2 linked regions of the Arabidopsis thaliana genome follow. The protein of the gene in region 2 interacts with the protein of the main gene of each other region in a pairwise test. Each region holds a gene or a part of one and is shown on either strand. Other genes may lie near its edges.

The links. The genes of interacting proteins can lie anywhere in the genome.
Region 1: the proteins of NAC084 (region 2) and LRB1 interact in a two-hybrid assay, tested with the Arabidopsis thaliana proteins (one large-scale study listed by BioGRID).

The regions. Positions count from the first base shown.
Region 1 is NC_003071.7:18,993,684-18,999,183, forward strand, and holds LRB1 (BTB/POZ/Kelch-associated protein), read left to right. Parts: upstream 1-1,961; 5' UTR 1,962-2,427; coding exon 2,428-2,683; intron 2,684-2,808; coding exon 2,809-2,943; intron 2,944-3,080; coding exon 3,081-3,199; intron 3,200-3,299; coding exon 3,300-3,363; intron 3,364-3,590; coding exon 3,591-3,870; intron 3,871-3,948; coding exon 3,949-4,780; 3' UTR 4,781-4,989; downstream 4,990-5,500. UniProt on the Arabidopsis thaliana protein: May act as a substrate-specific adapter of an E3 ubiquitin-protein ligase complex (CUL3-RBX1-BTB) which mediates the ubiquitination and subsequent proteasomal degradation of target proteins.
Region 2 is NC_003076.8:4,515,854-4,519,972, reverse strand, and holds NAC084 (NAC domain containing protein 84), read right to left. Parts: upstream 2,175-4,119; 5' UTR 1,797-2,174; coding exon 1,188-1,796; coding exon of another isoform or gene 1,158-1,187; exon of another isoform or gene 1,119-1,157; coding exon 939-1,118; 3' UTR 550-938; downstream 1-549. Other genes in the region: EXO70C2 (exocyst subunit exo70 family protein C2), read left to right, coding at 3,206-4,119.

The sequences.
Region 1 (5,500 bases), on a different chromosome or scaffold from region 2:
AGTTTTTATGAATATTTTTATAATTGATTTTGAAAATTCTGAAGTTAAAAACTTGGTTAAGAGATTGAAATTTAGGCAATATGCAATGGTGGAATCTTAACTTGGAGTTCTTAAAAAGAAAATTTGAAAAAAAAAATAGAAACATTATAATTTTAAAAAACTTAATAGTTATTACAACTCATAAAATTTAAAACATACATGACATAAAATTTTAAACAAATATGACAAACAATTCTATTTAATACTTAAGTTATCTAAAAATTAAGATTAATTAAATTAAAATATTATATTTAAGACCTAATTTATCTAAGAATTAACTTAAAAAACATTAGATTTGGCTCTTATATAAGAGCTATTCTTAACCATTAATTGAATTATAACATTAAATTTAAGATCTACTTTATCTAAAAACTAACCTAAAAAACTATCAATAATGATGGTCTTACGAATGCCTAGATTCTCTTCAATATACAAAAAGTACGGTTTAGTTATTGTTTGGACATTTGAAATCTAACTAATTCTCTTTTTAGTCTTAATGCAATGGAATTGCAAATACTCCATAAACCATAGTGTTGCACCCTAACCGTATCTCTCTCTAAAAGAGAATCTAGTCAACAAGATTATGTTTAATCTCTAATTAATGACAATAAGATTTACTGCCAAAATAAATAAATAAATAATAATAATAAGATTTACTGCCATTTATTCTTCTATATTTTTCAATTTTTTATTTACACTTGTTCCATAATCGTCCCAAGGAGTAGACTAGGGTTGATGCTCTTTCATCTATAAAACGACTTAACACAACATGTTCTTTCACATCATCATCATAAGCCTCAACAATCCATCACCATACATATTAGATTCTCCCTCTTTCCATAGTTTATTTTTGGTTCGTTTTATTGTAAAAAGATATCAAACTCTTTTTGGGGGACATTCGTTCTTCAAGTGTAACAGAAGGAGCTCCCTTCCTCCAAAACGAAGAGGACAAGATTTGAGGAACTAAAATGCAGAATCTAAGAGTTCATGTCTTCCTCATAGAGAGTGCGCGGTGTTAAAAGCTTGAAGAAAGCACACTTTAAGGGGATTGCACGACCTCTTAGATTCTCCCTCTTTCTCTACATATCATTCTCTTCTCTTCGTTTGGATTGAAGGGAGCTCCTTTTCTTCTTCTCTTAATTAGTCTCTGTTCTTCAAAACTTGGTTTCGATCTAACTTGTTTTCTTTTTCTCTAGTGCATTTTTTTTTTCAGGTTGTCATGTTTATTTGCAGGTGTTTGTGGTTGATGCTTGCATGGAAGCAATATTAATGTTGTTTATTTACGAGAAGACGTTCGTGTGCCAATTTGAAAATATGATATTAATGGAAATACAGATTAAAACTGACAAATGTATAAATATTTCTTGTTCCTTGTTTTAATTTTAACATTAGTCGTGTGTTTGTCGTAAATACGAAGGGGACATTTCACCTAAAAAAAGAAAAAAATATATTCATCAAAACTGGTCTTGGATACGTTTTTAGTTAAAACAAGAACAATAATAAAGTTAGGTTTAACTTCGATCAGATCGAAACAAGTACACTATAATTGTTTTGGTTTGAGAAAATATACCATCGATGGTTTCAAGAAATAATAGCAGCTGGGTTGCTTGTAGTCGATACGTTAAGTCGTATCATCTCAAATGATCCCTAGTAGTACACAACATAGTCAACTGGTTTGTCATGTGTTGGCCTACGAAGAAATGTATACCGGCCGGATTTCAATTTATAAATTAGTCCTTTTTTTTTTGTCAAGTTATCATTGCATAGCCAAGTTTCACTCGGTCAAAATCTAATTAACAAAGTCTGTAAAACGTTGAAGTAATTGTATTTTATTAAAAGAAAACTCCAAATTAGACTTTGATTCCAACGAATATTTAACGACATAAAAGGCATTGCCGTTTGTTGAACGAGTTGTCTTCTTACCAAATTTGACGCTTTCCAACTAAATACACTCCTAATTTTGCCTATTACCTTTTTCCTCCTCTAATTAAGTAAATGCTAAATTTCCCCCAAATACTAAAAATCGAATCCGATAAGTCAAAATCAAAATCGTACCTACGCGATTTATGCAAAATACCGGAAAAAGAACCAAAGTGCTTATTACAATCAAAAGACCAAACCGGTTAAACAATTAGTTAGGCTGGCATTAACGAACCTCTTTGTCTTTAATTAGCCTTTATCCGTCACCGCCCTGTTACCATAACCGTTCAACGTCGACCCGCTCTTTGTTTCAGAAAAAAAAAACAGAGAAAGACTTTTTTAGTGTTTCTTTGTCATTTTCGTTCCTCAAAAAAACCTTTTCGAATTTGACCCTTATTGTTATCCTGATTCTTCTGCTCGGTTCTCGCCGGAGAGAAGACACGGAGAAGAGGGTTTTCGAAAAGGAGGATGAGAGGTTCCAATAACACCGATCTATTTGACCCTAAGACGGAGATGGATTCCAATTTCTCTCGCCATGGTTCTTCCTCCGAAGGTGATTTTGGTTTCGCTTTCAATGACAGTAACTTCTCCGATCGTTTGCTCCGGATCGAGATCTTGGGTGGGCCTTCGGATTCTAGGTCTGATGCTGAAGGATGTACGAGTATTGCCGATTGGGCTCGTCATCGCAAGAGGAGAAGAGAGGACAACAAGAAGGACAATGGTGGTACGTTTGATTCCCTATCGGTTGGAATCTCAGATTTTGTTGTTGTTTTTATGAATTGTTCTTATGGTTGGTTTAGGGCTTTTGGGTTTAAATGTTTAAGAAACTTATACGTTTTGCATTTCCAGTTGCGATTTCAGACATTGTGGCATGTGCTGAAGAACAGATTTTAACCGATAACAACCAACCTGATATGGATGATGCTCCTGGTGGTGATAATCTTGACGATGAAGGAGAGGCAATGGTTGAAGAGGCTTTATCAGGTACCGTTCTAAATTTCACATTGTCTCTCGAGTGACTGGGTTTGAATTTGTGATACTTAACAATTTTCAGAAGAGCGTTTTTTGTTGAAGTCATTTGTCTGAAACGTGATGGCTTTGTTTATTAATGGTTTTTGTAGGTGATGATGATGCATCTAGTGAGCCAAACTGGGGTATTGATTGTTCTACTGTTGTTAGAGTTAAAGAACTGCATATTAGTTCTCCTATCTTGGCCGCAAAAAGCCCCTTTTTCTACAAGGTATTAACCTTTTTTCTTCTTCTATGTTCTTATTGTTTGCTCTTGTTCATCTCGCATGTAATGCTATCTTTTGCTTCTTGTTTTCCTTACCCTGTTGTAGCTGTTTTCTAATGGAATGAGGGAATCAGAACAAAGACATGTAACCCTTAGAATTAGTGCACAAGGTACGACAATTTAAGTCAAGCTTTTAATTCATTTCTGCTATTCTCCAATCTCTTTATATTGGCTTCAATTCTCTACTAGCTCTCTGTTGGCTTCTTCTTGTTTTGGATTCTTTATGCCTCTTGTATTAACTCAGTTGCTGACTTTGATTTACATATGATATACGATATTAGCTTTAAGGGAGTCCACATTGTTGATTTCTCATGCTCTACTTTTATGTGTATTGTAGAGGAAGGTGCTTTGATGGAGCTTTTAAACTTTATGTATAGCAACTCTCTAAGTGTCACAACAGCACCCGCTTTATTAGATGTTCTTATGGCTGCTGACAAGTTTGAGGTTGCTTCCTGTATGAGGTATTGTAGTAGACTACTGCGAAATATGCCCATGACCCCTGATTCTGCTTTGCTCTATCTTGAGCTGCCCTCTAGTGTTTTAATGGCTGAAGCAGTGCAACCTCTAACCGATGCAGCAAAGCAGTTCCTTGCCTCGCGCTACAAGGATATTACCAAGTAAGACTCTCCAGTGGTTTGAAATGCATTTACTCTAGTGTTGTATAATTCTTGTTCATGTGTTACCATCTTGTACAGGTTTCATGATGAGGTTATGGCCTTACCATTGGCTGGAATAGAGGCGATACTATCGAGCGATGATCTCCAAATTGCTTCTGAGGATGCTGTTTATGATTTTGTCTTGAAATGGGCAAGGGGACAGTATAGTTCATTGGAAGATCGTAGAGAGATTCTGGGTTCACGCCTTGCACTCTACATCCGCTTCCCATACATGACGTGTCGAAAGCTGAAAAAGGTACTAACGTGCAGTGATTTTGAGCATGAAGTAGCATCAAAGCAAGTATTAGAAGCGCTCTTCTTCAAAGCAGAAGCCCCACACAGGCAACGCATCCTCGCAGCTGAAGGATCGGACTCCATGAACCGCCGTTTCATAGAGAGGGCTTACAAATACAGACCCGTAAAAGTGGTGGAGTTTGAGCTTCCTCGCCCGCAATGTGTAGTGTACCTGGACTTGAAGCGAGAGGAATGCGCAGGACTATTCCCTTCAGGAAGAGTCTATTCTCAGGCTTTCCACTTAGGAGGTCAAGGTTTCTTCCTCTCAGCACACTGCAACATGGACCAGCAAAGCTCGTTCCACTGCTTTGGGCTATTCCTCGGAATGCAAGAGAAAGGGGCTGTGAGTTTTGGTGTGGACTACGAATTTGCGGCAAGAGATAAAAGTACAAAGGAAGAATACGTAAGCAAATACAAAGGAAACTACACATTCACAGGGGGGAAAGCGGTTGGTTACAGAAACCTTTTCGGGATTCCATGGACTTCGTTCATAGCCGAGGACAGTCAACATTTCATCAATGGCATTCTCCATCTCAGAGCCGAGCTCACCATTAAACGTTCCTCAGACCTGCACTGACTGTTTTCTTCTCTCTCTCTCTCTATGTCGTCACATTTAAGTTGTATAATCTCGTTATGTAGCAGCTCTAACCACGAGTGTCCTTTGTACAATAATTGCCTAAGGAGCAAAAGTATGGCTTAAAGAGTACCTCATTCTGTAAATTCTTTGATTGGATTTTTTTACTTTTCTATATGGGTCTTTATAAATAGTCCAAGATAGAATTTGGGCCTAGCTTTTGAGGTTAGTCTTAAAATATGGGCTCAAGGCCTACTACGATGCGTAATGATGAAGCTAAATTGCCTATAGTGTGAACATTAGGCTTTTATATTCAAAGTTCAAACAATGCGGCTATAGCAATGGTACATCGAGGAAATAGAATGAAGTGACAAGGATAATTTAGGAAATGAGGATAGAGGAATTGAGTCCTCGTCACATGGGGCCCACATAAATGCGTAAGTAAGACTATCCGCTTACCAGACGGACACGTCATTTTGTCGGGACACGTTTGAGCCGTTGGATGATTAATCTCCTTTTCTGACTTATCGACCCCACTTTTTTTTTCCACTACAAAATATTGATGGCCACGTCAGATGATTCGAAGTTATATAAAACACACGTTTTTATTGCAGCTTAACCGTCGATTTTTTTCTAATCGAGAAACCGAGATCAACGGTCTATATTCAAAGCTGATGTGGTCTGTACCTTTGCTTACGTCACCGAAAACCTAAGTTGAATAAT
Region 2 (4,119 bases):
TTTCATGCAAACAAATGTATAACTCTACTAATTCATGAATTTCACTCAAACAAATGTATTCGTATCAATTATATCTACGATGATTCTTTCTACAACTCACACGCATGTTATCATTTGGTTTGTCAAACACATATCATATTTAAGAAAATATGTTGGCTTCTGATAGAGTTTAAATTTAAAATACGTGTCAATGACAATAAATGTATCTGTATGTTTTGATTAAAAAATATGGTTCGACACGAAGAACTTTAGCTTCTCGACACCCCATGCGATGGCTTCTTTCATTTTTTCCACTCATTTCAATTTCAATTTCAACTCTTGCTTCTGTCTCTTTGTTATTTCCAACACACCAATTTGTTTGTATATATAACTCATCCATCCACATATATATACATAAATAACACACCAATTTATATAACTTTTTCAACTTGCTATACCTTAATACAAAATGCATCTCCATCTCATATTAATAAATTAATTTCCATACTTATTGATATAATATAACAGTCTATACAATTGTTTCTTAAAAATACATAGATGCTATGGATTCTTATGTGGTATGAAAAGAAAAGGAATCAAGTTCTCATCCATGAGAAAGATAGATACCTCCTTTCAATTCAACTTTACTTCGTATTCCTCAGCTATATATCACTTTACTTGCATGATAATGTTAATTTAAAATACCTTCAAGTAAAAATAATCAACAAGTTTGACATATATTTGGTTTTGCCCAACAAAAGTGCAAATCTCAACTCATACAATTCAACAGTTTCAGATCAAAATGAGCTCCCCTAGAACCATGTTACTTTACTTACTTCGCTAACAAATAAATCAAGACGTTGAAATTTTTTAAATAGCTTGACAGAAACGTAAGTGGAATAGTAGGTTAGGGTTTAGGAGCTTGTCACAATCTCAACGTCTCCTATGAGATATATATATTACTCATCAGCTGAGGTAGGAGGAGAAGGCGGTGGTGGACCGGTTTCATGATTTGACCCAACCGTAAAATGGTCGATGCATCTCAATTCTTCATCATCTCCCTCTCTTGATTTCCTCTGTTTTCTTCCTTTTGAGCCTTTCCTCTCATAAACATTGTACACTGCCCATTCTCCAGACACCTGTTTAACCCATTATTATCACAAGTTCCAATGTCTTTCTTACAGTAGTCTAGAGTAGTTATTGTGTACCTTAGCCGACGCAAATCCCGCAAGACAATACTCTGTCATGCTCCATCTAGTTTTGTTGCAATAAGAAGAAGACTTGTTTGTTTCATAGAAAGCAAGTGTTCTTCTAATCCCAAATGTTTTACCACAGGCAATGATTGGTCTCTCTTTACCAATAGGTTTCCAATAACCATCACCAGAGGAAATCTTGATTCTATGCTCATTACTTGACACTTCTCTCTTCTTGCAAAAGAAGTACCTCTGCTTCTCCTTTTGGTCCCCTGAAAGCAAAACTTCTTCAGTTTTAGCATCAGACACCCCGGATCTAGACCCAAACATAAGATAGACCATTTTGAACAAAAAACAGTTGAGGAAAACGAGGAGACATATACACACATAGAGGCTTTGACAGAAGGAACATAGAGAGAGAGAGAGAGAGAGAAAGAGACCTGGGAAACTAAGAGGATGAGAGAAGAAGAGGTCAAAGACAGGGATGATGGAGGAAGGCAAAGGAGAAGCAAAGGCCTTTGGGAGCAAGTAATGAAGGATAAGCTCTTGCTCGGTTGGGTGAAATCTGTATCCTATTGGCAATTTCATTCCTCCATTCACTACAATCCTCTTCTCCACCTCCATGTCTTCTCTTTTCTTTTCTTTTTCAATTTGCTTCTTCAAAACTTGATCAAATTTCAAACCTTTACAAGCATTGATCCATTATTCCATCTAAAGAGAGGAAGAGGGAGAGAGAGAAGGAAGACTTGTGTAGCCCTTTGTTTGTGGGCTTTGCAGGCTAAATGACAGTAGTAGAGGTTGTCAATATATGTTATATGTATATATAAATCCCCACGGCTACACACACACACAAACACACATATAGTTGTGTAATATAAAATTATAAATGGTAGAAATGGCTCCTTTGTCTGAACATTTATTTTAGTTCATAATAAGAAAGATGATGAGAAAGAATAGGAAAAAAAAGGAAGGTGCTTTTGAGGGATGTCCATTGACTTATTAAGTAAAAAAAAAACAATATAGAGAAGAAAATGTCATATTATTCCTTAAGAAAAAGAAAGAGAGATGAGAGGAAGAGAGAAACGTGCAAGTTTGGGGTTTCTCCATTTGCAAAAGGGTCCCTCTTCTGGATCCTTTCACTTATTATTACCGTTTCATCATTCTCTGTTTTCTCTCAATATTTTGATCTTCTTCATCCAATTGGTTACCATTAATTTATCAAACACAGTAAAAAGTTGGAACTCCTTTGACAATTGCGAGCCAGCCCACGTCTGCCTAAACCAATTACTATATAGCCTTATCTTTCTATAAACGGCTTTATTGCATTTATTCGTGCATGTGAAGAGAGGAGACACAACACTGCCTAGTTGTTCCTCCTACTGACTTTACTAGTAGTAAAATAAAGGCAGACTTGAATTTGGAAACTATAAAATTGAAGATTATTGGGCCCAACTTTTATGTGGGCTTTTTATTGGCCTTCCTCCACAAAACCAGCTACTATTTCTCATTACCATGTCCATTTTAATATTTTAGATGACTCTTGGATGACTAGTTTTCATTAAAAATAGCTAAGATATATGATTGCTTGAAAACAAAACATGAAGAAATGAAGGATGGTTTATGCATGCACGTATAGAGTTATGTGAGGAATATGCGTGCGCACCATACTCCCACGTTACCCGCTTTTTTTATTCAAATTATTGTTTATATTTCACTTCGTCGTGTAATGTATACATTTTGTAAACAAACAAATTAAAAAGAGTTAAATAATTACGAGGTTTTAATTTGTGTTGGTTAAAAATAGATTTTACTGGTGTTGGATTGGATGAAAGAAAAAGTCAACGGTCAACCACCAAAAAAACAAGGCTCCCCTACTTCTTCGATTCAGCCATTGCGACCATCTCTCTCAATCGCCTCTCTAACCACAAATCCTAAAAGTCTAAACGAAAACAGAACACATGAATCTCTCCTTCCTCTGCATCTCAATTCCACTTCGCCATTTTTAAAGCTTTTTACGTAAATAATAAGAAACCATGGAGAAGAACGACAAGGACCCTGATCATGATGACAAATCCAAGGGAGATGAGAAAGGCGACGTCGTTTCGGATGCTCATCCCTCAGATGATGCGCATCATCAGGATGGTATCAGTAACGAAAATGTAGATGTTGTTGGTAATGCGGAGACAGATCATCAAGATCCAGGAGATAACAATGTCGACAAGGTTTCACAAGGAGAAGAAGCACCAGAGATTCGTCAAACCTTGGAGTCTTTGTCTGAAGAACTCGATCAGTTTCTCCCGACTCTTTCCCTTCACATGGAGGAGCACAAAGATAGCACCGAGGAGAAAGGAGAGGATGGTTACTTTCAGATCCCACAGTTTGTTGGGAAATTCTTGGATCTTTTTGAGGAAAAACTCTCCAAATATGACTCTGGTGAGCCTAAGACTGTGTGGTACCAAGATCCTGAAGAGGTGTCTTCGCTTTTGGAGGCAGTGGATCGTGTCTCAAAGCTTATGGGGCTATTGCTCAACACCAAGTCCTGTTTGGACCATCATGAGTCCTTGATCAACCATGCGGGATCTATTCAGCAGCGTGCAATGGCTTTCTTGGAAGACGAATTCCGCATCATTTTAGAAGAATCTGTGACCAAAGAGTCTGTGGTTGTCACCGATGACAGCAACAGCCAGAGGAGGAGCACTGCCGATCAGCAAGACCACCAGAACGATGTGGTGGTCTCACAAGACCACGACCAGATGCTCGTTCCGGAATGCGGTGATCAGGAGATTGAATACCCTGGTTACCCTGAGGATGTGGTTGTGGTGCTGAGGAAAATAGCGGAAAAGATGAAAGCAGGAGGGTATGGATGGGAATGTAGAGAGGTTTATTTGGTTGGGAGGAGGAACATCTTGATGCGCACTTTGAAACAAGATTGTGAGTTTGAGAAAGT